Linked DNA regions of Rattus norvegicus. The protein of the gene in region 1 interacts with the protein of each later gene in a biochemical or structural test. Links are inferred from orthologs where the notes say so. Each region holds a gene or a part of one and is shown in the gene's direction. Other genes may lie near its edges. The genes, in order: Ube3a, Prkaca, Faf2, Ube2e1, Ubqln1, Ube2d2 and Actbl2.

Region 1 (4,300 bases):
ACGATCTCCGTATAGAACTTGATTGGCATTTGGATATCTATATCCTTCAAACTTTTAAGCTTTTTAGAACTCTGCGGTGTTGGCTATATTTTGACAATTCACATTACTTACTAGAAAATTTCCTTTTTTTCCCAGACAACTTCTATTTAGAAGTGAATAGCTGAAAGCATCTTTCCGCTGCAATACTTTACTTTTCTTAGTAGTCTAATGATCTTCGTTTTGGTTTTGTATTTTAATAATTTGCAAAGATAACTCTTTAAAAGGTTACATTTGTTACTAGCTCTTTTCATATAATACAATGGTATTCCAAATGAGGATTTTTAATGAAGAAAAAAAAATAAGAATAGAAAAATTTTAAAGTATCTTACAATCTGACTGAACAGTTGCACTTATTTTTCGTGCAATAGTTTACACCTCCTGCCCCTGCTTATTTTTTAAGTTTTAAAAAATAGCAAGCCTTTAATCCCATCATTCAGAAAGCAGAAGCAGGTGAATTTCTGAATTGAAGGCCAGAATGGTCTACAGAGTGGGCTCCAGAACAGCCAGGGCTTCAGAGAGAAATTGTTTTGAAAAACAAAGAAACAAACAAACAAAAAAACCCAAAAATAGCTGTTTATAGTGGGGAGATGTATATGTATCCATTTATAGGAGTTGCAAGAAACAGAAAAGCACATTGCTACATGTGATTGTTACATTTTGAGTACTAGATGATTAAGGCTTACAAAGTTGCAAGCCAGAAAATAACGTGTCAGCCAGTCTGTAATAATTTGAGTGTCAAAACCATTAACAACAACAACAACAACAGCAAAAAACCTAAGTAAACCATCACTTTGGTACCAAGAAGTCACATGGCTCTAAAAGAGTTCAGGTCTTCTGCATATCAAAATTAGTCTCTATCCATGTGGGATCAAGCAGGGATTCACTCAGTTGACAATCTACTGGAAGACACCACTGGTTAGGCTTTTACCTACTAGTTTGGTAAACCAGTGACAAATCCTGTCCTGGCAGAGGCCTAAGCGGATGACCTTGTTTACTGGAAGGTTGCTCACTCTCGGGTTCCTGCAAAAAAGTCGTAGGGGTCAGCCATAACAACTAAATACTTCTAAGGTTCTTTATTCTGCCAGTAGGCAATACCCTCTCAGCCTATTCGACCCTCTGACTCCGAGGCTATCCTCGGCTGGCTAGCCCTGTCAGCTCTCCCGAGTACACCGAAGACAATGGTCTATAGATTGGGTAAAAGGAGCATAGGCTAAAAACACCAAGCCTCTCTCAGCCCTGTCTCAAGATGGCGACCGTGCTGGCCAGCTTCCACCTAGCCCAAAGCCATCTCCCTTTCCCAAAGGCACCCGCGCCAAGAGCGAAGGCGAACTAGAGTAGGGCCCTGCAGAGATGCAATCCGGGCGGGGCGGAGACAGTCGTCGTCCCACGCACGCGCGAGCTCGCCTAGTCTCCCGCCTCCGGACTTGGAGCCCTCCGCCGGCAGGGTGGCGCGCGCTGCCTGTCGGGATACTCGGTCCGCCCACCTAGTCTTCTCGTCCTCGTTCGCGAGATCCGTGTTTCTCCCAAGATGGTGGCGCTCCTCTTTGGGTGACTACAGGAGACGACAGGGCCTTTCGTCTTCGCAAGTACCTCGCCGCCCCTCCTGCGTTCGCTCGCGCACCGGGCCACGCAGCTGTTCACCGCCTCATCACGACTCTCCTCGTTCGACCAGTCGCGGACGGTGGCGCCTCCTTCTGCTTCTCTTCGGAGTTGCTCGCCACCCTCGCCCCCCACCGTGGACAGATCGCGGCAGCAGCCGTTCAGCGCCGACTTCAAGGTTGCCCAGGCGCCCGGCCTCCCGGCCTCAGTTTCCTGAGGAGAAGCGCGGGTCCCGCATGAGACCCGGCGGTGGCGCCAGCGAAAGGGAACGAGGCGGTGGCGGGCGGCGGCGGTGGACGAGGGCGACAAGGACCAGTGAGGCGGCCGCAGCTGCGAGGGCCGCAGCCCACGCGCGGGGGCGAGGACAGGTCAGTGCTGCTGCGGCCGCGGCCTGCCCGGCGCGCTCCCTCTGGTCTGTACCGCCGGTCCCCTCGTCACCCTCCAGGCCGCGCTGACAGGGTAGGCGCCTGGGCCCTCACCCGCCTCCGTGAGCGAGTGCTTGGGCGCGTGGTCTGGAGGGGCCGGTGCCAGGACTAGGCCCTGGTGGCTGCGGCTGCTGCAGCCTTAACTGTCAGTGCTGGCTGAGCGCAAGAGGGAGGGTTTTGTCACCCGCGGGTACCCGAGTGGGCCCGGGGTGGGGCGGACGTGCAGGGCGTCGAGATTGGGGCCTCATCTAAGCAGGGATCGGAGAGCCAGCCGTGGCTTCAGGCTGCAAAAGGAAGTCCTTTTCCTCCAAAGGGGCGCTCTGGTGGGGAAGACATATTTAGAAGTGTGCTTAGTGGGTTGGGGTATTGTAGGGGGTGGATTGGAAGGAAGACGGATGAAGCGGCACATCAAGCCCAAGGATTGCGCTGTGGTTTTATTCGTGTGCTGCGTCTGGTAGGATTCAGTAGTTGAACGTGAGTTACTGGATTCCTCAGAAACTGCTGTGTTAATTTTAAATGCAAACCTGTAAGCAGTTGGTCTCCTCCTCTTCTCCCCTCCCCCTTTTCAGTTGAGAAAATGAAAAGGACGTTTTCCCCATTTTGATGCGGAGGCTTTTTGTTGGAAGAGTCAGAGTTGAATGTGCTATAATTGCGTTAGCCTTAAAAATAAAAAATATAATTTTAATAAGACTTTTTCACATTTAGAATCCTCTAAAGACAATTTTACGTCAATTTTTTTTTATGTCTTTTGAGGATACTGAAATAGACAAAATCTCTTTGGGTTTGTATTAAGTAGCTAGTGTACTGTTGCAAATGTTAACCAAATAGTATATGGGATGTGTGATCCACAATTATCTAATGTCGCAAAGGATGTTCGTATAACCCAGGGTTTTGGGAGAAGCAGCAGATTATGTTAAAATGCTTTGGAGAAGGAAGTGCGTTTGAAATGAAGATGGCCTGAACTTTAAGAAATATAGCTGTGGGGCAGGGGGTGGGGGAGAAATATAGCTGTTAAAAAGCTAAATATTCAAAGACCTAGTAAATCTTGTTGGACAAGTGACATGACAAGTGTTTTTTTTTTTTTTTTTGTTTTTTGTTTTTGTTTGTTTTTTGTTTTTTTTTTGTCACATCCCAGATTAGTGACTACTTTTACTTAAGATTTTTTTTTTTTTTGGTAAATCATGCAGATTTAGATTTTAGGAGAGATAAAAGGAAAATTTTGTCTTGTTATGTATGACAGAAACTGCTTTAGTATTAAATTCTCTTAAGTAGAATCTGCTTACTGCACTTTTAAGGGAATGGATATTGCATCTGTATTGCTGATAAGCCTAAGTATGACTGTAAATCCATAGATACTTAGCATTACAAAAAAGCCATGTATCAAAATCTGTAATAAAAATGAGAACTTCATCAATTTGCAGTCTATATTTTAAGAAAGATACAACACATAATAAAGATGAGATGACTTGTAGCTTTGTTTTCAGAATCAGAATGTAAGTAAGCTGTGAAGTATTTGTGTCAATATTTACCTTGCATTGGTGTGTTGTGGAGTGGTATACACACGTAATTCTTTGGGTATTGCTCCTCATATACCTGAGGAGCTTAACCATGAGTTTAAAAAAAAAAAAATCCCTTTTGCATGCAGGTTTTGTAGGTGGCTTTTTTTAATCTCTGAAATATCCACCATCACCATTTTTTCGTTCTTTTTTTTTTTTTTTGTTGAAAGGGTCTTAATGGTACTCCACTGGATGACCTGTAACTTTCCTCTTGGCTTTGTCTCCAGGGTTCTGCAATTAAAACTGTATACCACCAGGACTGGCTACTTGCCCTTTTTATGGCTTTAAATAGAAAATGTAATTTTCATCTGAGACTAATTTCTCTGACATGTTAATTTTATTCAGTTGTATATCTTAAACATTTATGTCAATCTCTCTTCCCTCAAAAATTGCTGTAATCGTTTCTCTCAATTTTTATCAACTTTTTTTTTTCCATTGGGCATAGCTAATTTTTTTCTGTTCAAGGGCTTAAGATGATTTTTTCAAATGTCCTTTAAAAAAATAAAACCTTAAATGGTTACTGGTATATTACCATTTATTCTACTTAGGTTTATGTTTGTTATTAATGATAAAATTACTGTTAATGGATTTATATTACATGTATATGCAGCTATTAAAACATCAAGTGTTCTGATTTTTGCAACTGGGTTTGAATTTTAACCGATGGTCTTCTAAGTACTT
Region 2 (3,500 bases), on another chromosome or scaffold:
CTAGTGCCAGTGCGAGTGAGGGCAAGTAGGCAAAGGGCAAAGTTGCCTTCTTCCATGGCCTTTTATGTGGGCTGTCACCAGGGGGTATGGCCCAGATTTAGGGCTGGTCTTCCCATCTCAAATAATCCAATTGAGAAAACCCCTCACCAGTATGCCTGACTGCTGGGGTTTTAGCTGATTCCAGATATAGTTAAGTTGCCGGCTAAGATTGACCATTAGAAAGAACGGCTGGCATTTCTATACCACAAACCTGGCACCAGGGCACCAGACCACTGCCCCAGCTCCTTTGCCAATGTGGAATTAGGACTCGTCCCACCAGCACCCTACAAAGTCGTCATGGTTTTATCCCCATTTGCTCCTGGAGAAAACAGACCTAGAGAGATGAGTTGTCCCAAGACATACAGCTGGCCAGCATCCAGACAGAGACTCTGAGTTCCCACCCTGAAGTCCTGACCCCAGCTGCCTCTATAGCCACACACAACAGTGAACTGTCTTCAGGCCTTATTTTTCTGAGTTATTAAGTGGTTAAAACAGATGTAAAGAAGGTGGTCAAACAAATCAAATAAGAGAATGAAATGGGTGCCCCAGCCAGTCACCAGGGACAGCTTCTACATTAGGAGCTGAGATGCTGGCCTCAGAATGCTGTAGGCGCCTGGGAGGAGTGTGCCTGAAGGGAAGCACCCAGTGAAGCAGCTCAGGCGAGGATTCTCCCCTCAGCACAGGCAGGCACAGAGCCAGCAAAGGCCAAGGTGACAGCTGAGCCCACCAAGGGCACCTGCTACACTAGCCCTGCAGGCTTTCACTAGGGCCCGGCCTCAACAGAGGAGCAGCCAGATCAGAGGCTATTAATACCTCAGCTGGTACAACCCTGGCCAAGGAATGTCAGTCAGTGCTGGGGAGAGCGGGGTGGGCTGGCCTGTGTGCCTCTCGGTCCTGTGTTCCCAAGTGCCTATGTACCCTCTTCGAGTGTTACCAGAATCTGATACCTCTGTAATTAGTGGAATATTGGGCCCCAGTCCAATCAAAATGTCCCAGGTTGCCTCTGGGATCCCCCAAAGACATTGGTAAAATATCAGATTCTGGCTTGAAACAGCTGTACCCCACTTTCTACTAGAGTGGAAAAACTTAATGTGCCTCGAAGCAAGGACTTTTCACCTAACTTTTGTCTCTCACCCTCAGTGAAAGAGTTCCTAGCCAAAGCCAAGGAAGATTTCCTGAAAAAATGGGAGACCCCTTCTCAGGTGAGCACCTCAGAGTAAGTAGTACCCAGGCAACAGTCCCCAGCTTGGTCACTGTGTGCCCCACCCAGCCCTGCCCCATTCCCTCTAACTGCTCACGGTGCCCCGGGCTTCTCATTGCCCGGCCTTACTCACTGTATCCTTGCACCTGGCAGCCCCTGCTCCCCATGCAGCTGCCAGCAGCTCCTGGGCCCCAGGCCAGGGCCGGATCTGGCCTCTGCCACCCTGCCTGGAAGAATGTCCCCTGGGTCATCTCCACCCACTCCCCAGAGCCCCCTCTGCCGGTGACACAGGGGACTCCCCAGCTTAGAAGGCTGCAGGGAGGTGCCCCTGACCCCTCCCATCCTTGCCCACAGAATACAGCCCAGTTGGATCATTTTGATAGAATCAAGACCCTTGGCACCGGCTCCTTTGGGCGAGTGATGCTCGTGAAGCACAAGGAAAGTGGGAACCACTATGCCATGAAGATCTTGGACAAGCAGAAGGTAAGATGACCAGCTGCCAGGCCTTCCTGTCTCTGCCCACCGTGCCAAGCCCACCACCACCTACATTGCTTTTCTGCCCATTTATTCTGCGCTCACTGCTGGCAGCTCCAAGAGCTCCACAAGAATATACATGCAGTTCACTGTACATTAGCAGTGGAAGCCTCCCCGGTCCGCCGGTTTAGAAAGGTCCAGTGGCAACTTGGCCTTGCCACTTGCAAAAGACTGTGCTGAGTCCAGAGAGTAAGGGACGGATGTGTGCTTCCTTCCTTAAGCGTTGTAAGTGATCCACAAGTGGTTACTGTCTACTGCTGGGGTGGGCCCTGGACTCCATCCTCACCTCTGCAAAAGAGGGAGAAAGTGGAAGAGGGTGTGAGGGTCTGTGCGAGTAACCGTGCACCCAGGCCACAGCTCTGCAGACTTGGCCGTCTGTGCTCAGCAGTGGCTTGGAACATGTCCTCATGGGTACTCAGTCACTTTCATATCCCCTGATGCTCCACGATCTATCAGACCCCAGGGTGAGAAGGGCCTTCGTTCCTCAACATAGCCAGCCCTGTGGTTAATCTGCAGCTGGACAGAGATCAGGGTGGTCTGCAGAAAAGGTTTGCACAGAAAGAAGTACAGAAGTTCTTTTTTGTTGTTTGTTTGCTTGCTTGTTTGTTTTCCAAGACAAAAATTTTCCCTGTGCAGTGCTATGTAGCCCAGGCTGGCCTCATACTCACAAGTCTGCCTGCCCCTGCTCCTAAGTGCTGGGTGTAAAGGCACAAGCTACCACTGCCTGGCCTGCATAGAAGGTTTTTTTTTTTTTTTTTAAATGTTTAAACTTTGTGTGTATATGTGTCCTGTTGGCCAAGAAGCATAACCAGTTCCAGGTTCAGTGAAAGACCCTGTTTCAAAAAATGAGGTCCAGGTAGAGATAGGACTGGAGAGACGGCTGGGTGAGTTAAAGGCACTTGCTACCCCACGTGATGACCTCAGTTCAATCCCCAGAAACCTACACACACATGCACACACACACACACACACACATACACAAACATTCACACAGATACATACACACGCACTCACACACACATACACACACACACGCCCACACACATACACATACATACACACACATAGATGCACACATACACATACACATGCACACGCACGCACACACATACACACATTCACACAGATACACACATACACACGCACTCACACAACACTCACACACACATACACATGCTCGCACACGCACTCACACATACACACATTCACACAGACATACATACACTCGTACACATACACTCACATATACACATATACACTCACACACACATGCACACACATACACTCACATACACACATACACACTCACACACAGACAAAATAATTGAATTTAAAGAAAAGACTTTAGTGAGTTGGAGGATGAAGAGAAGAGTTCAATTCCCAGAGCAGACACAGCCCAGCACAGTAGCACCCACGTGTATCACACTCTTCCTAGGAGATGGGGCAGAGACAGGCAGTTCCTGAGAGCTCAAGGGCAGCCAGCCTGTCAGATGCAGCAGCAGACAAGGTCCTGCCCTTAAGCAGAGGGAAGATAAAGAACAACATCTGAGGTTGTCCTCTGGTCCCCACTCGTGCACCATGGTGTACACACCCATGCTCATACAAGCACACAGATTTCCTTTTTTTCTCCTAAGATTTATATATTTTATGTATGTGAGTACACTGTAGCTGTCTTCAGACACCAGAAGAGGGCATCGGATGCCATTACAGATGGTTGTGAACCACC
Region 3 (3,500 bases), on another chromosome or scaffold:
ACTGCCCTCTCCTAACCACTCCATTCCTTCCCTCTCTCGCCCTGCCTTGCTTTCAAAAGCACTGATCTTCCTTTTTGTTTTCCACCCTCTGTTTTTACATTCATAGCAACTTGACTTTCCTCCTTACCTGACTTGTGCTCACGTCTTGCTGTGTTATCAGACTGTACACACCTTCAAGGCAGAAGCTGACCTTGTTGTGATTCCTGACAGACCTAAATAGGATTTAGACCATAGGCCCAGGGTAGCTCGTTTGATTCAAACTAAGCCATAGAGACCTTTCATTGTCTCCTTTCGGGAGGAAAACTGGGTTGTAGGCATATAGAATTTGTCAGAGAACAGTAAAGAATAGCACAGACATGTGCTAAAGGGGCTCTTATGGAGTGTCTGGAATTCCTGATTCTTACCTGGAGAGGCAGCTCACTCTTGCTTCTGCTTTACCCACATCTGCTTTTTCTCACAGTTGATCTTCATGCTGGCTGCTGCTTTCTACTCAGCACACATCGCATACCTGCTATACACAGCTAGACACCCTGCTCAGGGCTGCAGATAGCAGGGATGAGGGGGACAGCTGTTCTTTGGGTGACCTTGAGGGTAGAGTACATTAGCCATCCTGGGAATTACAGGCAGTTAGGAGCATACCATTCCTAAGTGACAAGACTCATGGACACTTGCTTTGTCTCAGAAGATCTTATGAACCCTGTGCTCTTCAGGGTACCTGTGGGTGCCCTGGTCCTTCCTGCTTGCTTGTCCACTTGCTGGATCCAACTCCTTTTTGTAGCTAATTTTTTATTGGAAAGAATTTTGTAGCTGCAAAATTGCTTTTACATAGTCACAGTGTCCTGTTTTACCTTTAAACTATGGTACCAGCTGACTTTCTGAGACCGTTAGGAGTTATTTGTGTCACTCCTTCGACCTCATGTGCCTGATGCAGCATAAGGTCTAACAGCACGACAGGCTTTTCATTAACGCTGTTGGCTTGGGCTTTGTAAGGAGGGCGATGCCAGGGTGGCTGCAAAGGCAGCAGCCCGGGAAGTATGTAGTCTCGTCTCCCTTGCAACCCCATTTCCCTCCCCTCTTTCTAGTTGCTAATGTTGGTCAATAGTCACCTTCATCTGGACCCTTAGCCTGAACAGTAGTTTAGATCTTAGTAGTGAATTGTGGTCTTTTGTCTCTCAAAGGCACTTAGTGACGCCAAGCGGGAACTTCGATTTCTTTTGGTTTATCTTCATGGGGATGACCACCAGGACTCTGATGAGTTCTGCCGGTAAGTAGTCCAGTCGTTTTCTTTCTTCTCGGACTTGTATAGTTGGCAGATTACTCTCACGCTGTCTTGTCTTGTTCCACAGCAATGCTCTCTGCGCACCTGAGGTCATCTCGCTGATAAACAGCCGGATGCTTTTTTGGGCTTGTTCTACAAACAAACCGGAGGGGTACAGGGGTAAGTTGTGTTCCGCTGCCTTAGTGAGAGGTCAGAATATCCTTGGGGAAGTCTGGAGAAACATGCTGTGCTGTCACTCAGGTGGTGGTTCTGTGGTAGACGCAATGCTAGTTGAAGTCATTTAATTTTGTCAGCAGTCTGAGAGATGACTGTTGTATTATTTCTTCCTTGAGATGGATGAAACAATCGCAGAGAGCTTAAGACAGATCCAGGCATACAGTTAGCATACGGTTGGGGTTTGACTGGGGCAGACAGAGTTTAAGGCCCATTCTTTATAACTAACCATTGCCAGAGACTCTCATTTTAAGTCAGTTTTGTCTAATTTTAACAGGCTCTTGATAGGCATTCCTCTTCTCTGCCCAGGCTTTCAACAGAACTCTGGAATGAGTTTGCTGTTGAGTGCTAGAGCGCTGGCAGTGGGTACAGAGAGTTCAGTCTTTCTGGCAGCAACTCTTAGTTAGAGATCAGTGTTTTCAGAAACCATCAGACAATACAAACATACCCAGTGGTGAAAATACAGTCATTTTGTAGCCGTTTTGTCTAGCAACCTCTGTATGTGCTAACACCTAGGTAGGCATCAGTGCCTGGTGTTCAGAACCAAATATACTGTAGCTGTTTCTCCTGCGTCTTTTAAATCTTTACTCCTAATTGATTTATGAACATGTGGTATTTTTCGGCAGCCTGTGTTCTAATATGGCTCTGTGGGGCTAGCAGATAGATGGCACAAAGGATACAATTTCTTTTTCATAGCATAAGAATATAGATGCAATTGTATCATAGTAAAATTTTGGTTATTTATAGACCAACTTTTTAACTTTACTTGGAGCAGAAAAACTACCCTTGCTAAGGGAAAAGAAAGACTAGGAAAATGAGGTAGGGGAGGAGTTAGATGAGGAGGAAAAGACGGGGAACATATGTGGTGAGAAAACCACGGCCACCAGCATGCAGCCAAGAACAGCAGCATTGTGTCCGGTGGCCCTGGCTCTGCACATTTGGAGAGATTATACCTAAGCGGTCATGAGAGTCTTTGCAGAGCCTTCTCTTCCACTCAGGAGACAGCGTCTTAGAACTTGAGGCCTTTCCCAGCATGACGGAAACTTACGAAAAAGCCTCCTGCTGCTCTAAGCACTCACCTCACTCAGTTCAGGAATACACACTTGTGACAGAAAAAAATGAGGAGACCAGGCCAGGCTGATGAAATGGGAGTCTGAGTTTGGTTATCCAAAAGGGTGGGAGAGGAGGGCCAACTCTAGAAAGCTATCTTTTTTTTTTTTTTTTTTCCGGAGCTGGGGACCGAACCCAGGGCCTTGCGCTTGCTAGGCAAGTGCTCTACCGCTGAGCTAAATCCCCAACCCCCCAGAAAGCTATCTTCTAATGTCTGCACACAACTGTAGAGGAACTGGAGTGATGGCTCAGCGGTTAAGACATGGGCCACTTTTCCAGAAGACCCAGGTTCATTACCCAGCACCCACATGGCAGCTCACAGGTTCCAAGGAGTCTGACGCTCTTCCAGCCTTTACAGGCACCGTGCATGCATGTGATGCTCAAGTGTCCATGAGACAAGTACTGACATACATAAGACAGACAGAAATCTCTAAGTGTGTTTCCATCAGTTACTTATTACAAAAGAAAGAAAGCAGTAGAAAAAGAAGAGATGACACCTTCCCTTTTCCCATCCAAGAGTATACGTCTGAGGATTGGTCTGTTGCATCCCAAGTCTTATGCTTGATCTCTTGGGTCTCTGTGTCAGTCTCCCAGGCTTTACGAGAGAACACCTATCCATTCCTGGCTATGATTATGTTGAAGGACCGGCGAATGACTGTGGTAGGAAGGCTCGAAGGCCTCATTCAACCTGATGACCTCATCAACCAGTTGACGTTCATTATGGATGCAAACCAGACTTACCTGGTGTCAGAACGCCTAGAAAGGTACTAGGGGGTTCTTTTCTGGAAAGAGACAGATGATGTTTGGACAACTGACTTGGGGCTCCACAAACTACTTTCCTTTGTCTTGGGCACTTTCAAAGCCTTTGCTTCATGTTGAAGGAGAGTTCAGAATGCGG
Region 4 (3,500 bases), on another chromosome or scaffold:
TCAGCTAAAACCATTTATCCTTTCTAAGCTTGACTTGAGCTGTGCTCACAATTGTCTCTACTCCCTGACCAACATTATTCAAGAATCCAAGGCAGGGCTTCCCAGCCTCAGGACTGCTGGGATCTGCGGCTGGTTTAATATGCGTTGTGCTTTGTCAAGTGCACTTCAGGGTGGTTAGTGCATCCCTGACCTCTACCTGCCAGGCACTAGAGTGCCCTCCATCCCAGCTGTAACAATCCAGAAGTGACCTCAGAGCTGGGGAAGGTCTGAGGCTGGCCTCTGGCCCTGGCAGTCTTCGCAGTCTTGCTCTTGGGGGACTGAGTCTTCACTTTTATGGAGTAGCAATCAGATCACGAATGTCAGAAATTGCTTGGGCTCTGTTTTGAAACATGGATATCAGGGCCCTTTTCTCTACTCTCACTTCCTGCTGATGTCTACCTGTCTACTTTCACAGTCCTTTTTTCAACCCTAGGAGCTCAGTGTTTTTCTTAAACAGATAATTGTGTTCTTGATTTTTTTTAAGTGTAATGTTGGGTGCGGTGGCTCCTGACTTCAGTCCCAGCGCTCTGGAGGTAGAGATAGATGGGTCTCCAAGTTCAAGGACAGCTTGGTCCGCATGTGCATGGAAAGTGGGTTCTGTCCACCACATTGACTCTTCAGTCTTGCCAGCCTGACAAAGAATAGTTCTAGATGGCAGTTTGGAATGGTGTTGACTGCATTTTAAAGGGCTTAGCTTTCCTCTATCAGTTTGGGATGAGGCATCCAAGACCTAAGTGCTAACAGTATTAGTGTAGTGAGGAACATTTCTTAATTTCCAGACAGATGTCTTGTTTCACTATCCTCAGGGGGCAGGTAAGAAGCTAACATTCTGGTGGTGAGGTCTGTTTTAAGACACTAAGCTCATATATGACTTCTTGACGTAACTGTCCCCAAGGGCCCAATCTCCCTTCTAGTCACCATCCTACTGTAGGTTAAGCAGGGGACACAAACAAGCTAACCTTTGATAATTGAGAACCCATTCTGTTCTTAGTAAATGAAGCAGTAAAGGTAACATCTTTTTCCAGAGGAGTCAGAGTCTATTCCTAGGATAGGGCTGGTTAAGATATTGTTGGAGGCTGGAGAGATAGCTCAGCACTTAAGAGCACCCGATTCTCCTGCAGAGGATTCAGTCAGTTTCCAGCATCTGTGTCAAGCTACTCGCAACCACATGTCACTCCAGCTCCAGGGGATCTCATGCCCTCTTCTAACTTCTAAGATCAGGCAGTGTGTGCTGGGGGGCGGGGGGCATGCATGAGTGCACACACACACACTCTCACTCACTTACTCACTCTCTCACTACATAAATAGAAGTAAATCATCTTTTAATCTTTCCCTGTACTACACCTTGTGATTATAAAGAAAGCATTATACTCTCTAGGTCTCAGAATCGGAGGGTAAGCTTTTTCACTCTGTTGCTAAGGTGCTTGAATACAGAGCAGTGGAAGCCAATGCCATGTTTTAGAAGGATGATGTAGCCAAATGAAGGTACAACCAAGTATGTTTAACAAGAACGGGTTTGGTTAATGGCTAGTAAGAGTCCATGTCTAACACTGAGTGAGAACGGATTACGGACTTGACATTCCCCTCTCACTCAGTTTTTATAAGGTAAGAAGTATAGTCACCAACTTGGAATGACCCATGACCCAGCATTCATGGGAGCTGAATGAGGACTGTGACTTTCAAGACAGTCCGAGCTACTCTGTCTCAGGGGACCAGAAGTGGAGGAGTGTAACGTGATCTATAGCTAAAGCAGTTTTGAGTGTGTGTGTTTGTGTCCACATGTGTACACGAGGAGGCTGGAAATCAATGCTGTACGTCTTTGTGTAGAATTTATCAGCATCACCAGGGTCCAAACTTTGCTAAGCACTTTAATTAAGGAAAAGATTCTGGTTACTTAAAAGGTTCTAAGAAATGATGTAGCCATGAGAAAACTTGTCACTGAGTCAAAAATGAGGACATGATCACTCCTAGGTATGGTTGAGGAGGAGGTCTTATTGTAGATAAGAGGTGAGAACAGGCAGAGACATCTGGGAAGTCCAGACTGAACCTAACTAGCAGACTGGATGGGGAGGAAGGAAAGAAGGAAGGTGGGGCGAGCTGACCAAGAGGGAAACCGGAGGTGTGGACCAAAGGAGCCATAGCCAAGATAGCTGAGCAATGGCGAGAAGATGGGGGAGGTGGTTAGCATGGGGCCTGGTGAGAAGCGCTGGCAGGAGCCGGTTACTGAGTGAGACTTGTCCTGAGTTTCTTCAGAGCAGAGTAGCCAGCAGCTTAGCTTCCGAGACACGGATCTTTATTGTTGTTTCCCGTACTACGTCTGAGAGTTGAGGAAAGTGTGTCCAGCTGTAGCTAGTGTGTTTAGAGTGGACCTGGTGTTCTGTCATGGCTTACTTGACTGGTGGACAATGTCTTTATACCAAAATCTCCTTATGAAGAGAACCAGACATTAAACTCAAAGGATGAGGGGAAGGGGTTTTTTCCTTTTCTGGTCCAGCATCACCATGTCTTTATCTATCTGCTCGTGTGTTACTTCACAGTGCTGGTCCCAAAGGTGACAACATCTATGAGTGGAGATCAACCATTCTGGGGCCTCCAGGGTCTGTGTATGAAGGTGGAGTCTTCTTCCTCGACATCACTTTTACACCAGAGTATCCCTTCAAGCCTCCAAAGGTAAGGAGTCTCCTGTGTCTTCTCACATTTAACTGTCCTTGAGAAAGATTAAAGTTTTCAATGTACTCACAAAAGCCAGATTTCTTCCACGTGTGTGCTGCTGGCCACTGACGCCTCCTTACCCAGTCCCCTCCATGTTGGAAGAGCTGTGTGGACTGCGGTGCAGTCTAGATCTGCTGTGTAGGTCGGAAGAGCTTAGCTTCCTGCTGTGCAGTGTTTGCTAGTGTAAGTGAATGTGATGACTGGTGATTGGTCATAGGCATTTCCAGGGTAAGTACTTAAGATTGCTGTTTATAGCTTCTTAGACTTAATGACTCCGGAGCAGTGTGTTCCTTCCAGCTAACACAAGAGGCCAGCAGACAACCAACAACTTAGACCTATTGATGTCTAAACATTAAAACTAAGCCAGATGCTACTAGTCACACATATGTCATCCTACAGTCTGGAAGCAGAAGCAGAGGGGAGGATCAAAAGTTTGCAGCTAGTGTGGGGTACACGGCACCAGGATGGCCTGATGGAGAAGGGAGGAAGTGTGGACTGTTCGCCTCGAGCAGTGGTCACTGCTGTAGAGTGAGATGGAGGGGTTAGCCTGAAGTGTCCTAATGCCCCTACCTGATGCTGCTTAACAACTGCCTTACTTTTAGGTTACGTTTCGTACAAGAATTTATCACTGTAATATTAATAGCCAAGGAGTTATCTGCTTGGACATATTGAAAGACAACTGGAGCCCAGCACTAACCATCTCGAAAGTCCTCCTCTCTATCTGCTCACTCCTTACAGACTGCAATCCT
Region 5 (3,500 bases), on another chromosome or scaffold:
TGGGGACACCGGCATGCATGTGGTACCCATAACACACACAGGCAAAACATTCATACACACAAAATAATAAATAATTAATTCTAATACTTTAAAAAAAAATCTTGAAAATGCCCTAAGCACATGAAAGAACTGTGTCCTGAGCATCAGCAGTGAAGCCGCTTTCCTCTCCTCCCTGCGTCCTCCCCGTCGTACCCCTCCCGCATCCTGTGCACGCACTTCACACTGAGCCTCTCCCCACACTCTATTCTTTATTCACTTGCAGTTGTTGAGATTTTGTGGAGAAAAGGTGTTCTGAAGGTGACACCGGTTGGGCTTCAGTGTCCTCACCGGCCCTAAGGCTGTAGCTAGCAGTTTTCCTTAGGTCTCGCTTTCACATCCTAGGAACACACCCTTTCCATGAAAACCTTGTGGTGACTCAGTTCTAGTATGCCAATACATAGTGCACACGTTTAGAACGCAGTACGGATGGACGATAAATAAATGAGCGCTGTTTTAGTTTACACAGAGAAGAGCCTCCAGCTGCTTTTCTTCCCCTTCAGGACTGGTGGATGGGGCTGAAGGTTTCACCTTTAATCCACTAGGCTTTCTGACCTCCAGCTCCGTCCTCTTCCTGTCACTCCCCAGGGCGCCCTCAGTCCAACCTCATCAGTGCAGTGACCTGTGTATGACAGACAGAAGAAAGCCCTCAAATGACCACCTAGGCTTTTAGGAACCCTGTGAGAGATCAAGAAGGAATAAATATGTTGTTTTATACTAGAGAGATTAAAAAAATATGTCTGGTTGGTTCTGCTACATTTTTTGTTTTTATTTTTTGTTTGTTTGTTTGTTTTGTGGAGCTGAGGACCAAACCCAGGGCCTTGCGCTTGCTAGGCAAGCGCTCTACCACTAAATCCCCAACCCTGGTTCTATTACATATTAAAGTTGAAAATTTGACACATTTTGATTGTAGGATGTGTTTGGGGTTGGGGCTGTCCACTGTGAAGCAGCAGTGGGGGGAGGGGCAAGTCTGTCTTGGCACCTGGTGTCTCAGCTGGTGGGCCAGGAGGGTACAGCAGAGCGCTGCTTCTCTCAGTGCAGCTACTGTCTCGAAGCTTCTGCCTGCCGCCCCAAAGGCAGATGAGAAGAGGCAGATTAAGTTTATAGATTGTGCTTTATTTCAGAGCTGGTAATCCGGGGAGGCCACATGTAACCTTCTGCCAGCAAATGATATGGGGTTGGGGAGAACAGAAACAGGTGACTGACCTTTTGAGAGCTCAGGTTTGCCTCTGCTCAGATGGTCAGCAACTGAGACTGTGCGAAATGTTCCTATGCTGCCGCTGTCCCTTTCATTCATTCCCTGTTCCGGGGGTGTCTAGGTTCAAACAGTTCTTAAAACAGAATAATTAGTGTCTGCTGGTATCAGGGTTATATTAACAAGAGCTTCTGCTCTGCTGTGGGTGAGATTGACTCTGAACAAAGCATTAGCAGTGTGTGTTGTAGGCTATTAGGGTGCACATGCAGATTTGTGTCCAGTCTGGGAGTACAAGTACGTCTTCCTAATACACATAGAAAAGTCCCCTATCTGTAGCAGCAGGAAGTCCCTTCAAATGCACTGCATGAATAGCCCACTGAGCTACGAGGAGCTCGTTGTGATCACCTTCATGTGTCACCAGCTGAGGATGAAGGCTTAGGGGCAACACTTCGTATCTAAGCTACAGCATAGGAATTAGATAGTATAATAGTGAGTATAACGCCATATAAGTGGGTGGCAGGAATTGTTTCGTTTGAATGGTTTTTAAAATATAGAGTTAATGATTCTTCATATTTTAGCACAAACTTCTGATTTCCATTTTTGTTTTTCTTTTAAGGTGGACTTGGAGGACTTGCAGGTCTTAGTAGCTTGGGTTTAAATACCACCAACTTCTCTGAACTACAGAGCCAAATGCAGCGGCAACTTTTGTCTAACCCTGAAATGATGGTCCAGATCATGGAAAACCCCTTTGTGCAGAGCATGCTCTCAAACCCTGACCTGATGCGGCAGCTGATCATGGCCAACCCACAGATGCAGCAGCTGATACAGAGAAACCCAGAGATCAGTCACATGCTCAATAACCCAGACATAATGCGACAGGTGCGCAGGAAGGGGCGTGTGTGTACTGTGTGCGCGCGCGCGCGCGTGTGTGTGTGTGTGTGTACTATATGTGTGTGATTGTGTGCACGTGCATGTGTGAGTGTGTGTGTGTACTGTATGTGTGTGTGTACTCTGTGTGTGAGATTGTGTGTATGCATGCATGTGTGTGTGTACTGTATGTGTGTGTGTACTCTGTGTGCGCGTGTGTGTATTCTCTGTGTGTGTGTGTCTGTGTGTGAAATTGTGTGTGTGTGCGTGTGCGTGTGTGTGTGTGTGTGTGTGTAAAATGTTATTTTCTGTGGTGCCAGAAATTGAATTGTGTATTTATTATAAAATTAAAGAGAATCCCAACCATTGTTTAAGGAAAGTCAGCAAAACAATATTAATTTGGTTTGTTTGAACTCTGAATGTTCTGCTATGCTTGAAAATTCTTTAAAGCCCGCCTTAGAAAATAGGCTTGTTGTGCCAGTTTCTCCTCAGTGCTGTGGGGTGGAGAGAAGGGTGGGTCCTAGAGTGCAGGCTAGAGAGGTGATATCAGTGCCCTGCTCCTCACACAGATAAAACAAAACAGAAAACAGTTCTGAGGAGAGGGGATCAGAAAAATTTAATGAAAAAATTTTCAATAAAACCATTGGGTATGGTGGTACACAGCACTTGGGAGGCAGAGGGAGGAGGATCTCTTCTGAGTTTGATTAAGGTCATCCTGGTCTACATAGTGAGTTCTAGAACAGCAGGGACTACATAGAGAAATCTTGTCTCAAAAATTGTGGGGTTGGGGTCGGGGTTGTGGATTTAAGAAACTTAAGAAACTTAAAAGTCCATTTTTGGAATGGCCTGTTTACTTTGTGATAGCCTATAAATAAATGTCGTATTTAGAGATAAAATCCACTGGGAATTTTAAGAAGTACTTTACTAATTTAAATATAGCAAAATTGGTTTAAGACTTTTAATTGGCCTTTTTGATTCTAGAATTGGATGACACCTCATCCTTTTAAATAGAACCCGTGTTTCCATGAACTGAGCAAACGAGGTTAGGCCTTCAGCAGGTAGACAACTGGAGATGCCAAGGCCGGCAGCACCAGGCAGTCTCGGTCCTGACAGAGCTGTGGTGCTGACTCTCAGTGACTAGAACACCCCGTTTCGTATTTTTCAAAATAGCAGTTTAAAAGTTCAGTGTGGCTGCCTGGCACTTGGCACAGGTGCCTCCCTTCAGTTTCCTGAGACTCAGTGCAGGAGCTAATCCACGTCAATTGTGGGTTCCCACAAGCATTGACTGAATGTAGAATGAATTCCTTGAATATTTCAGTGCCTTTTTTTAAAACTGGAAATTTCTTTCTTAGACATTGGAACTTGCCAGAAACCCAGCGATGATGCAGGAAATGATGAGAAA
Region 6 (4,271 bases), on another chromosome or scaffold:
ATGGCTCAGTTGTTAAGAGCACCGACTGCTCTTCCCAAGGTCCTGAGTTCAAATCCCAGCAACCACATGGTGGCTCACAACCATCTGAAACAAGTCTGATGCCCTCTTCTGGTGTGTCTGAAGATAGCAACAGTGTAATCATAATATATAATAAATAAATAAAATATTTAACAAAAAAAAGAAAACAACTATTTTATTTTTATGTATGTATTTCTCTGAGTGCACATGAGTACAGAGGCCATAGGTGTTGGAAACCCTAGGGCTGGAGTCACAGGTAATTTTAATTCTGAGGTGGGTGCTGGAAACCAACCTCTTATCCTCTGCAAGAGCAATGTGTACCGTTAACCATTGAACAATCTCTCTTGTACCTAGAAACAGCATTTTAAAAAAAAAGTTTCCCGAAATGGGCTCAGTAAAATACATGTCATCTTTTTTGAAGTTACATTCGTGAGGGTAAGTACTGCCTGCGTGTGTACCTGTGCTTGGATGCGGAGGTCACGGGATAACTTGGAATAGGTTCTCTCCTTTCCTCAAGTCGGTCTCAGGGATCCAACTCAGGTCACCAGGCTCAGCAGCAAACACCATCACCCACAAAGCTATAGACAACTCCTATTTTGCTTTTTAAGTACAAAAATGTCATCATCACGAAAAAAATTACAAATCAGACATGAAGGCATTTTTGTGCCTCTTTCTTCACATTTCAAAAAGACTTGGGCCTACATAATGTCCCTCCTCATACAGAACCTCTAACTTACAGATTCTGTGTGACTGACTAACTAAGGTTTTTGCCTTTGGGGGTCCACCTCTCTAAGGAGAGGTGATCGACTTTGCCACTTGTTATGAAACCTTGCCAAAAATCCTTTTTGTATTTCTTCATTCTACACGGCCTATTTCCTAACGCTAACAAGTCAGTGGTTGCGTATATAACATTCGAGTCATGTCCAGCTGAGGTCTTTTTTTGCGGGGGACGGGCAGTCTCAGGGCTCCCTGTGCAAGCAAGTTCTAGGACCCTCTTTTTTGGGTGGCAGTGAGGCTGAAGAGTTGTGTGACCTTAGAAAAGTCCCTTTCTTTTTCAGGAAAGTGACAGTCGGATTAGTTACTTCCAAGTCTGATGGTGATTAAACAATGTGGAAAACCCGTGCCTTTAAGCGTTTCTCGTTCTTTGAAGGCGCAGGCACACAGGGTACCAGAAGCTGACTTCAGGCCTTGGCGGGAGGAGGGGGCGTCTAGAACCCGCGCCTAAACTCTCGCGAGATCTCCTGCCTCGCGACGTCATCCCCTCTGCGGCTGTGCCTGCGCCGGCGCCTGCGCAGGCGCGTACGGTACTGGCAGGGGCGGCCCGTATCCCTCCGCCGCCGGCGCGGCCCGGCCCTCCCTCCCAGGCCCGCCAATCCCGGAGCCTCCCGACCTGTCCCTCGGTCTGGGCCCACCCCGCGCTCCGGCAGCCCCACCCCGGCGGCGCCGCCCGCCCGCGCGTCCCTTAGTCCACCTGCACCAGGCAGGAAAGCAGGCTTCCCTGGCTTCGCCACCGTAAGTCGCTCGGCGATCCTGGAGCTTGGGGCTCTTCCTCCCAGGCGGAGGGATCCACGGCAGCCGAGGAGGCGGCGCTGAGCCTACGAGGAAGAGGCAGGCTACGGCGGCGGCGGCTGTGGCAGCAGCGCATAAAGGGGCCGCCGCCGGGTGATGCGGTGACCGCTGCGGCAGGCCCAGAAGCTGAGTGGGCCTCGGCCCTCAGCTCGTCGTATCCGCGCTCCGGAGCTCCCCGTTCTCCGGTCGACTCGCGACCGCTCGGGCGGTCTCAAGCCCCTTAGCCCCTTCCCCGTCCCTCCCCCGTCCCCGTCCCCGCCCCGGGGCCAGCCGCCACCGTTTCCCACCATGGCTCTGAAGAGAATCCACAAGGTAAGCGGCCAGGGGTTTACTGTGGGAATGGGCCGCTGGGCGGGCCCGCTGAATAGGCTGCGGCCTGCACTTCCCGCGGTCGCCTCCACTGGGCTCGCGGCGTCTGGTTCCTTCTGCCGGCGCCGGCCCCAGGGGGCGGCCTTCACACCCCACTCCCAGAGATGGCGCCCAGGGAGGCCCGGGCACGGGGCCCTTGCTTAGGCCGAAGTTGCTCTTGTCTTCGCAGCCTTCATCCCCGACGCCCTTCCAGGCCTCCCTTCAGCCTGAGACTTGATGCTCTCTGGGGCTATTGTCCGGCCGAGAAAGGACTTGGGGCGGCGTAGGGCGGGTGGGGGGCAGGGGTGGAGCGGCTGGTAGTTGGGCGGCCCTGTGATCCGAGGTCGATAGGACTGCTCGCCCAGTCCGTCCCCCTACTCTGGCGCCCTTCAAGAGCTGCCTGAGATCGAGGACATAGTCAGGCCGACCAGAGGGCCCATTTGCTCGATCCACGAATGTTCTTTTGAGTTCACTTAACTCTGGGTCAGCTAGCTGGTCACGAAAGTCCACCTTACTGGTCTAGAAAGTGGAGTAGGAAGTCCGAGGTAAGAAAATGCCACTCGGGGAGAGGAGGGAATTAAGTGGAGAAGGGTTTTATTCCTTGGGATTGGTGTATGTCTTCAGAAACTAACCCTTCAGTTTTGCAGGATTGGATCTAGTGGAACAACTGGTAGACAGTAGAAGCCATTCGGTTCAGAAAAAAACCGAACTTTGAAAACCGCCAGAGAAATCCCTTTCACAGATTTCTCCCAAAATGATTTTAATGCTGAAATTAGATGCAATGTTCGAGAAGACTCCCCGATTTAGAAGGGATTTTGCTCTATTTTTGGTTAGAAATAATTTCTTAACTCTTTTAAGTGAAAGGTTATCCATTTATTTAATAAATAATGAGATTTAACACTGTGGAGAGCATTGACTTCGATTCAAATTTAGGGCACCCTGATGTTAACTTCTTAGTATCACTTAGTGATACTTTTCTTTCCTCTTGGAAATAGGAAGTTACCCCCTGATGAGTTTTGCTTGGTGTTTTATTTGGCTCCTCAGATGGGCTATATTAAATCATTATCATATGAGTAAGTGGCTGGACCTGGGATTACCCCTAACGACCGGTGGGATAAGAATGCAAAAGAATGGAGGATGAAGTAAACACAGAATGACGAGTAGACTGTTCAGTAACTGGTCCTCATTTATTCTTCATTCAAGACCTTGTGGAATTAATTCCTTTCCTTACTGTGAATTAGCATCTTACAACTTTTGTTTTCTTTGATTTCTTAGAACTCAAAGGGCAGACTTTAGATAGTAAATCTTGTACTAAAATGAAGGGCCATTGCTCAAGTTTGAACTTTAACGAAAGAAAAACAGTGTAAGGGATAAGAACAAAGTAAAAGATAAACATCCAAGTAACATGTATATATATATTTCTAAGACTTTAGTAGTCTTTATGGAGTCTAATTGAAAGTTACCAGTTTGAATAGTGTTGAGTTAGACCTGTAAAGAATGCCTACCAAAGATGGGGAAAGGGGAGTTTGGTTTGTGATAATTTGTAGAGATACTTCTTTTTTAAAAGGTAGAGTCTCACTAGCTCTGGCTGGCTTGGAACTTTTAACTCTGGCTGCCCTCAACTCCAAGACCCACTTGCCTCTGTCTTTGGAGTGCTGAGATTATACCATCAAGTTAATAGCTTTTAGTGTTTATATTAATATCTGTGCTATACAGACTTCTTCAGAGATGACACTGACTCAAAACATACATTTAAATCTTAGAATAACATTTGTCCTCCTAATATAGTTTCTGTTGCTGTGTTTTGTTTTGTTTTCTCTTCTCTGTGTAACAGCTCTGGCTGTGTGCTGGTCTCAAACTCTCAAATCTGCTTGCCCCTCTGCCTTCCCAGTGCCAGGAGTAAGTGTGTGCATCACCACAGCCTTCTCCTGTTGCTGTTTTTGAGTTAGGCTGTCACTGCTGGTATTGGTCCTGAGTCCTGGGATTCAGGCATGTACCACCACCACCATACCTGCCTTCACATCTTTTTGTATAGTACTAGGGATTGAATCCAAGATCTTACACATGCTAAGGCAAACGCTCTACTCCTGAACAATATCCTTAGTTCTTGTAAATCTTTTTTTAAAAATCAGGTTTAAAAATGATCATTTGACCTTAAAATTGTGTGTGTGTGTGTGTGTGTGTGTGTGTGTGTGTGTGTGTGTGTGTTTCAACCACAGCCCTCATGGGAATGTGAGGATAACTTGGTAAAGTCTCTCCTTTGACCTTTCTATGGGTCCTAGAGATTGAACTTGGGTTATCCGGTTTGCCTTTACCAACTGAACCATCTATATATA
Region 7 (4,199 bases), on another chromosome or scaffold:
GATCTGGTTTGAAGCCTCTGTCTTCTGTGACACCATCAATACTGGCTTCTCATCGGGATGCCTCAGAGCTGGCTCACCCACACTCATGCCTCCAGAGCCAGCACCCACTGTCCTGCCCAGTCAAAGAGTAGGACCATCTTCCAAGTATTACAGCCAGCAAGAGGATGGCCCAGCTCTCCCACTCTCATAACCCTGGGTCAGCTTTCCCAACTGCCTTAGGTAGTGGGGGGCAAAGGGGTAGAGAGACAAATAAGTTACCATCCTACTTACCTAACACATTTGCGACTAGAATTTATGAACAATGGTAGCTGATGGTTTCTCACTTCTTCCTGTCCTATGATCATCATGACACACATTTACCAAGGTGTCTGTATTTCTACATTAAACATTAAATTCAAATAAACTTTCTCTGAAGTGATTAGTATATTTTTAAATGAGAAGAAAGCAATATTGTACCAATTGTGTCAAGATGTGTCAATCACAGATGGGCTTGATGTAGTAATAAAATATATGCATCTTGAAAATTCAGTTGTTTAAAAGATCAATATGTACCCAAATATATAATTTAAAACCTTATCTTATCATCTAAGTTGTTTGTTGTGTAACTCAACTAATTTATAAAAATTTATTGTGAATAAAATTATCATAATTTGTATTTTAAAAATAAACCACTCAAAAACATTGGCATTTTGCTTTTGTGCAGTCAACATTAGCACGGGAAACCTATGAACAATGAATGCATAATAATAAACTTGGTTATTAGAAAATATAAATAATATAATGTAGTTATTAGATAGTATGTCAGAAAAATATATAGTGGCTCTCTTTATTGATCCCCTATTGCTTTTACTTGGGCCTGGTGGATTTGAAGTCAATTAAATACTCTACATTTTTCATGGTACAAGTACATTCTGATTAAAGCCATTAGGCCACCCGAGGCCATTCGTTATTTTCTTTCATTAAAATAGCTTCTGTCAAGATGACATCTTATAATAATGGGAAAGAAAAACGTTAAGACAGAATCAGACTCTTCATTTGAATAACATATCAAAACCGAAAGGTCAAAGCGGAGCGCAGTCAGAGTGCATGCTGGAGAGGAGCAGGGACAGCGACTCCGTCTCTAGCTCTGTCTCTTCCCTCTGCATCACACAGTCATCTAGAGACCCCACCAAGCAGACCGGCAGCACTGTGTGGGATGCCTAATTACAGCCCCCTGAGACTTAGCCACTTGGTAGCCAGTTTTCTCTTTATGAAAGAAGGCCTACTAATGATTTCTGTAATTATCATCATTAGTAGTACCTCAAAGGCAGCCCCACCCAGAAATGCTGAGAACTGGTAGGAAAGAACATGGGTGGAGACAGTATGTGCCTTTAAATACCTGGGCTTGAGGTCCAGACTCTCTTCTCTAAGGGCGGTTCTGAAGTGTTCTGAGTATCCATTCTCTGTCTTGCACATCATAGTCTAGAACTCACCTCTATTTAACTTCTGTTCACGCATCTGGAAGATCGCAACCAGCAACCATGGTTGATGATGAGCTGGGTGCCTTGGTAGTAGATAATGGGTCAGGGATGTGCAAGGCGGGTTTTGGGGGTGATGACGCCCCCCGTGCTGTGTTCCCCTCCATGGTAGGGCGTCCACGACACCAAGGGGTCATGGTGGGCATGGGCCAGAAGGACTGTTATGTGGGAGATGAGGCCCAGAGCAAGAGAGGCATCTTGACCCTGAAGTATCCCATTGAACATGGAGTCGTCACCAACTGGGATGACATGGAGAAGATCTGGTACCACACTTTCTACAATGAGCTCCGTGTAGCACCGGATGAGCATCCTATTCTTCTCACCGAGGCACCCCTCAACCCCAAAATCAACCGGGAGAAGATGACTCAGATAATGTTTGAGGCTTTCAACACACCTGCCATGTATGTAGCTATCCAAGCCGTACTGTCCCTCTATGCCTCGGGAAGGACGACAGGTAACGTGATGGATTCTGGGGATGGCGTCACTCACACTGTGCCTATCTATGAAGGCTATGCTCTGCCCCATGGCATTCTACGACTAGATCTGGCAGGCAGAGACCTGACTGATTACCTCATGAAGATCCTGACAGAACGAGGTTATAACTTCACCACCACAGCTGAGAGGGAGATCGTGCGGGATGTCAAAGAAAAGCTGTGCTATGTGGCCCTGGACTTTGAGCAGGAGATGGTCACTGCAGCTGCTTCATCCTCACTTGAAAGAAGCTATGAGCTCCCTGATGGGCAGGTGATCACCATTGGGAACGAACGTTTTCGATGCCCAGAAGCCATTTTCCAGCCTTCCTTTCTAGGTATTGAATCCAGAGGGATCCATGAGACAACCTTCAACTCCATCATGAAGTGTGATGTGGATATTCGCAAGGATTTATATGCCAACACTGTGCTGTCTGGAGGCAGCACCATGTACCCGGGCATTGCCGACAGGATGCAGAAGGAAATCGTAACCTTGGCACCAAGCACCATGAAAATTAAGATCATAGCTCCCCCAGAACGCAAGTATTCAGTTTGGATTGGGGGCTCCATCCTCGCCAGCCTATCCACATTCCAGCAGATGTGGATCAGTAAGCAGGAGTACGATGAAGCCGGTCCTCCTATAGTTCATAGAAAATGCTTCTAAATGAGCTACCAGGTCCCTTTTCCTAGGTCAGAACGATGGTACCCACCTCACCCAGGAAAATTAAGGTAAATCATTTACTTCTTATTGAGCATTAGAGCCAGGAAATCTACATCTCCATGCAAGTATCCAGGGCTCTGTCACAGCTAACCACACTGAGCTTTTTAGCAGCTGAGGGAAATCTGACATCATAATCTGTTTTCTATGCCCGTGAGGCTCAGAGAAATGTGGGCTTGCTTACATGAAAATGGGTGACAAGGAGTAAGGTCATGAGAAAAGAATTTCAGGCTGCATAACCACAATATGCAAGCTTTAGATCTAGTTCTTGCTAAAATGGTCAACAACGCTCTACAGATCTGCAATATAAAAGTCTAGCAACTATGTCTTATTAATTCTCTGTATTTATTTACTTCTTTCTATGGATATAACAAACTACACAGGTCCATCCTCTATATCCACTTATGCATCAGGAAGGTAAAGTATTACATCTTAAGACATAATATGTACTTGGCCGAGCAGCTTCTGTGAATGTTCTTATTCTCTAGCCAACGTTTCAGCAGCTCTGTATTTCAAGGAATTGCCTTATCACATAAGCATAGCTAAACGGTTGCCATTCGATTGGTGTGTATAAATCAAATAAATTCCCAAGTCAAGGTGGAATTCTGTTGGCCAAGTACATCTTAATGACTTAGTTACTGAACTTCATCAGACTCACGAAACAGCAAACCTACCGATGGATGATGCCTAACTGTCTACATAGAAAGATATTGTGATGCCGAGTTCATTTTGTCTGCCACAGGGTGACAAGAATAATTTTATTCATATCTCTTAGCCTAATAATGTGTCTTGAGCAATATCTAAGGGTTGATTCTGGACATTCCTCTTAGGCAAGGACGTCACTATGGGGAATGCAGCACCAGTCTCTTAGCAAACAGTAAGTGGTCGTAGACGTTCAGTAACCTCGAGCAAGTTCTCGGAAAGATTTTATTGTAGCTCTTTACTTTATTACATCCAGTGGCTGGCAACACGTGTTTACCTATGTATCTCTGAGATGACAGTGTCTCAAAAAACATACTAGTGTTTCTTCCTACAATGTTTGAGATGTTTTCATGAATCCAGTGGTGATTTAACAACAAATTTTTAGTATGACCATATCTGCTTCCATTTATGATGTGATTTCTGTATTTGGTTATCAGGGTAATTTGTATTTTTTATGTTTTTATCTAAAAAGTTAAGATATTTATCTGCTTATTTGCTTAAGAAGATACCGTTAGACCAGTGGGAGGGAGGAATATCTTCTTTTTCATATTAGTTTGGAAACTTCTTGTGTTTAAACATGTGAATTTGGAATCTTTAACCAATTTTGATTAAGATAGAACTTTCCAAATAACTTGATTATTCCTTATTTCCTTTATCAGTTGATGTAATTGTTTAATCTGCAAAAGCACTTTATTTTACAAAGCTTGCTTTTCGTTTAATTTCATTAAAGTAAAATGACAACATGCTTGTGTTTTGGATTTCCTGTTATTTCCCTCACTCCTTCCCACGAGA

The links.
Region 2: the proteins of Ube3a (region 1) and Prkaca form a complex in vitro, tested with the Homo sapiens proteins (2 studies listed by BioGRID, with this or other methods). The link is inferred for Rattus norvegicus from reciprocal best matches to the Homo sapiens genes UBE3A and PRKACA.
Region 3: of the proteins of Ube3a (region 1) and Faf2, one has a biochemical effect on the other in vitro, tested with the Homo sapiens proteins (2 studies listed by BioGRID). The link is inferred for Rattus norvegicus from reciprocal best matches to the Homo sapiens genes UBE3A and FAF2.
Region 4: the proteins of Ube3a (region 1) and Ube2e1 form a complex in vitro, tested with the Homo sapiens proteins (2 studies listed by BioGRID). The link is inferred for Rattus norvegicus from reciprocal best matches to the Homo sapiens genes UBE3A and UBE2E1.
Region 5: the proteins of Ube3a (region 1) and Ubqln1 form a complex in vitro, tested with the Homo sapiens proteins (2 studies listed by BioGRID, with this or other methods). The link is inferred for Rattus norvegicus from reciprocal best matches to the Homo sapiens genes UBE3A and UBQLN1.
Region 6: the proteins of Ube3a (region 1) and Ube2d2 form a complex in vitro, tested with the Homo sapiens proteins (12 studies listed by BioGRID, with this or other methods). The link is inferred for Rattus norvegicus from reciprocal best matches to the Homo sapiens genes UBE3A and UBE2D2.
Region 7: the proteins of Ube3a (region 1) and Actbl2 form a complex in vitro, tested with the Homo sapiens proteins (2 studies listed by BioGRID). The link is inferred for Rattus norvegicus from reciprocal best matches to the Homo sapiens genes UBE3A and ACTBL2.

Annotation. Positions count from the first base shown.
Region 1 is NC_086019.1:119,204,648-119,208,947, forward strand, and holds the start of Ube3a (ubiquitin-protein ligase E3A), read left to right. Parts: upstream 1-1,500; 5' UTR 1,501-2,006; intron 2,007-2,011; exon of another isoform or gene 2,012-2,097; intron 2,098-2,139; exon of another isoform or gene 2,140-2,537; intron 2,538-4,300. UniProt on the Homo sapiens protein: E3 ubiquitin-protein ligase which accepts ubiquitin from an E2 ubiquitin-conjugating enzyme in the form of a thioester and transfers it to its substrates.
Region 2 is NC_086037.1:41,073,190-41,076,689, reverse strand, and holds part of Prkaca (cAMP-dependent protein kinase catalytic subunit alpha), read left to right. Parts: exon of another isoform or gene 1-1,173; intron 1,174-1,179; coding exon 1,180-1,241; intron 1,242-1,594; coding exon 1,595-1,723; intron 1,724-3,500.
Region 3 is NC_086035.1:9,963,542-9,967,041, reverse strand, and holds part of Faf2 (FAS-associated factor 2), read left to right. Parts: intron 1-1,178; coding exon 1,179-1,264; intron 1,265-1,346; coding exon 1,347-1,438; intron 1,439-3,188; coding exon 3,189-3,366; intron 3,367-3,500. UniProt on the Homo sapiens protein: Plays an important role in endoplasmic reticulum-associated degradation (ERAD) that mediates ubiquitin-dependent degradation of misfolded endoplasmic reticulum proteins.
Region 4 is NC_086033.1:9,919,042-9,922,541, forward strand, and holds part of Ube2e1 (ubiquitin-conjugating enzyme E2 E1), read left to right. Parts: intron 1-2,576; coding exon 2,577-2,709; intron 2,710-3,353; coding exon 3,354-3,500. UniProt on the Homo sapiens protein: Accepts ubiquitin from the E1 complex and catalyzes its covalent attachment to other proteins. Catalyzes the covalent attachment of ISG15 to other proteins. Mediates the selective degradation of short-lived and abnormal proteins.
Region 5 is NC_086035.1:6,464,940-6,468,439, forward strand, and holds part of Ubqln1 (ubiquilin-1), read left to right. Parts: intron 1-1,847; coding exon 1,848-2,110; intron 2,111-3,450; coding exon 3,451-3,500. UniProt on the Homo sapiens protein: Plays an important role in the regulation of different protein degradation mechanisms and pathways including ubiquitin-proteasome system (UPS), autophagy and endoplasmic reticulum-associated protein degradation (ERAD) pathway.
Region 6 is NC_086036.1:27,636,928-27,641,198, forward strand, and holds the start of Ube2d2 (ubiquitin-conjugating enzyme E2 D2), read left to right. Parts: upstream 1-1,471; 5' UTR 1,472-1,875; coding exon 1,876-1,899; intron 1,900-4,271.
Region 7 is NC_086020.1:44,589,992-44,594,190, forward strand, and holds Actbl2 (beta-actin-like protein 2), read left to right. Parts: upstream 1-1,399; 5' UTR 1,400-1,520; coding exon 1,521-2,651; 3' UTR 2,652-4,147; downstream 4,148-4,199. UniProt on the Homo sapiens protein: Actins are highly conserved proteins that are involved in various types of cell motility and are ubiquitously expressed in all eukaryotic cells.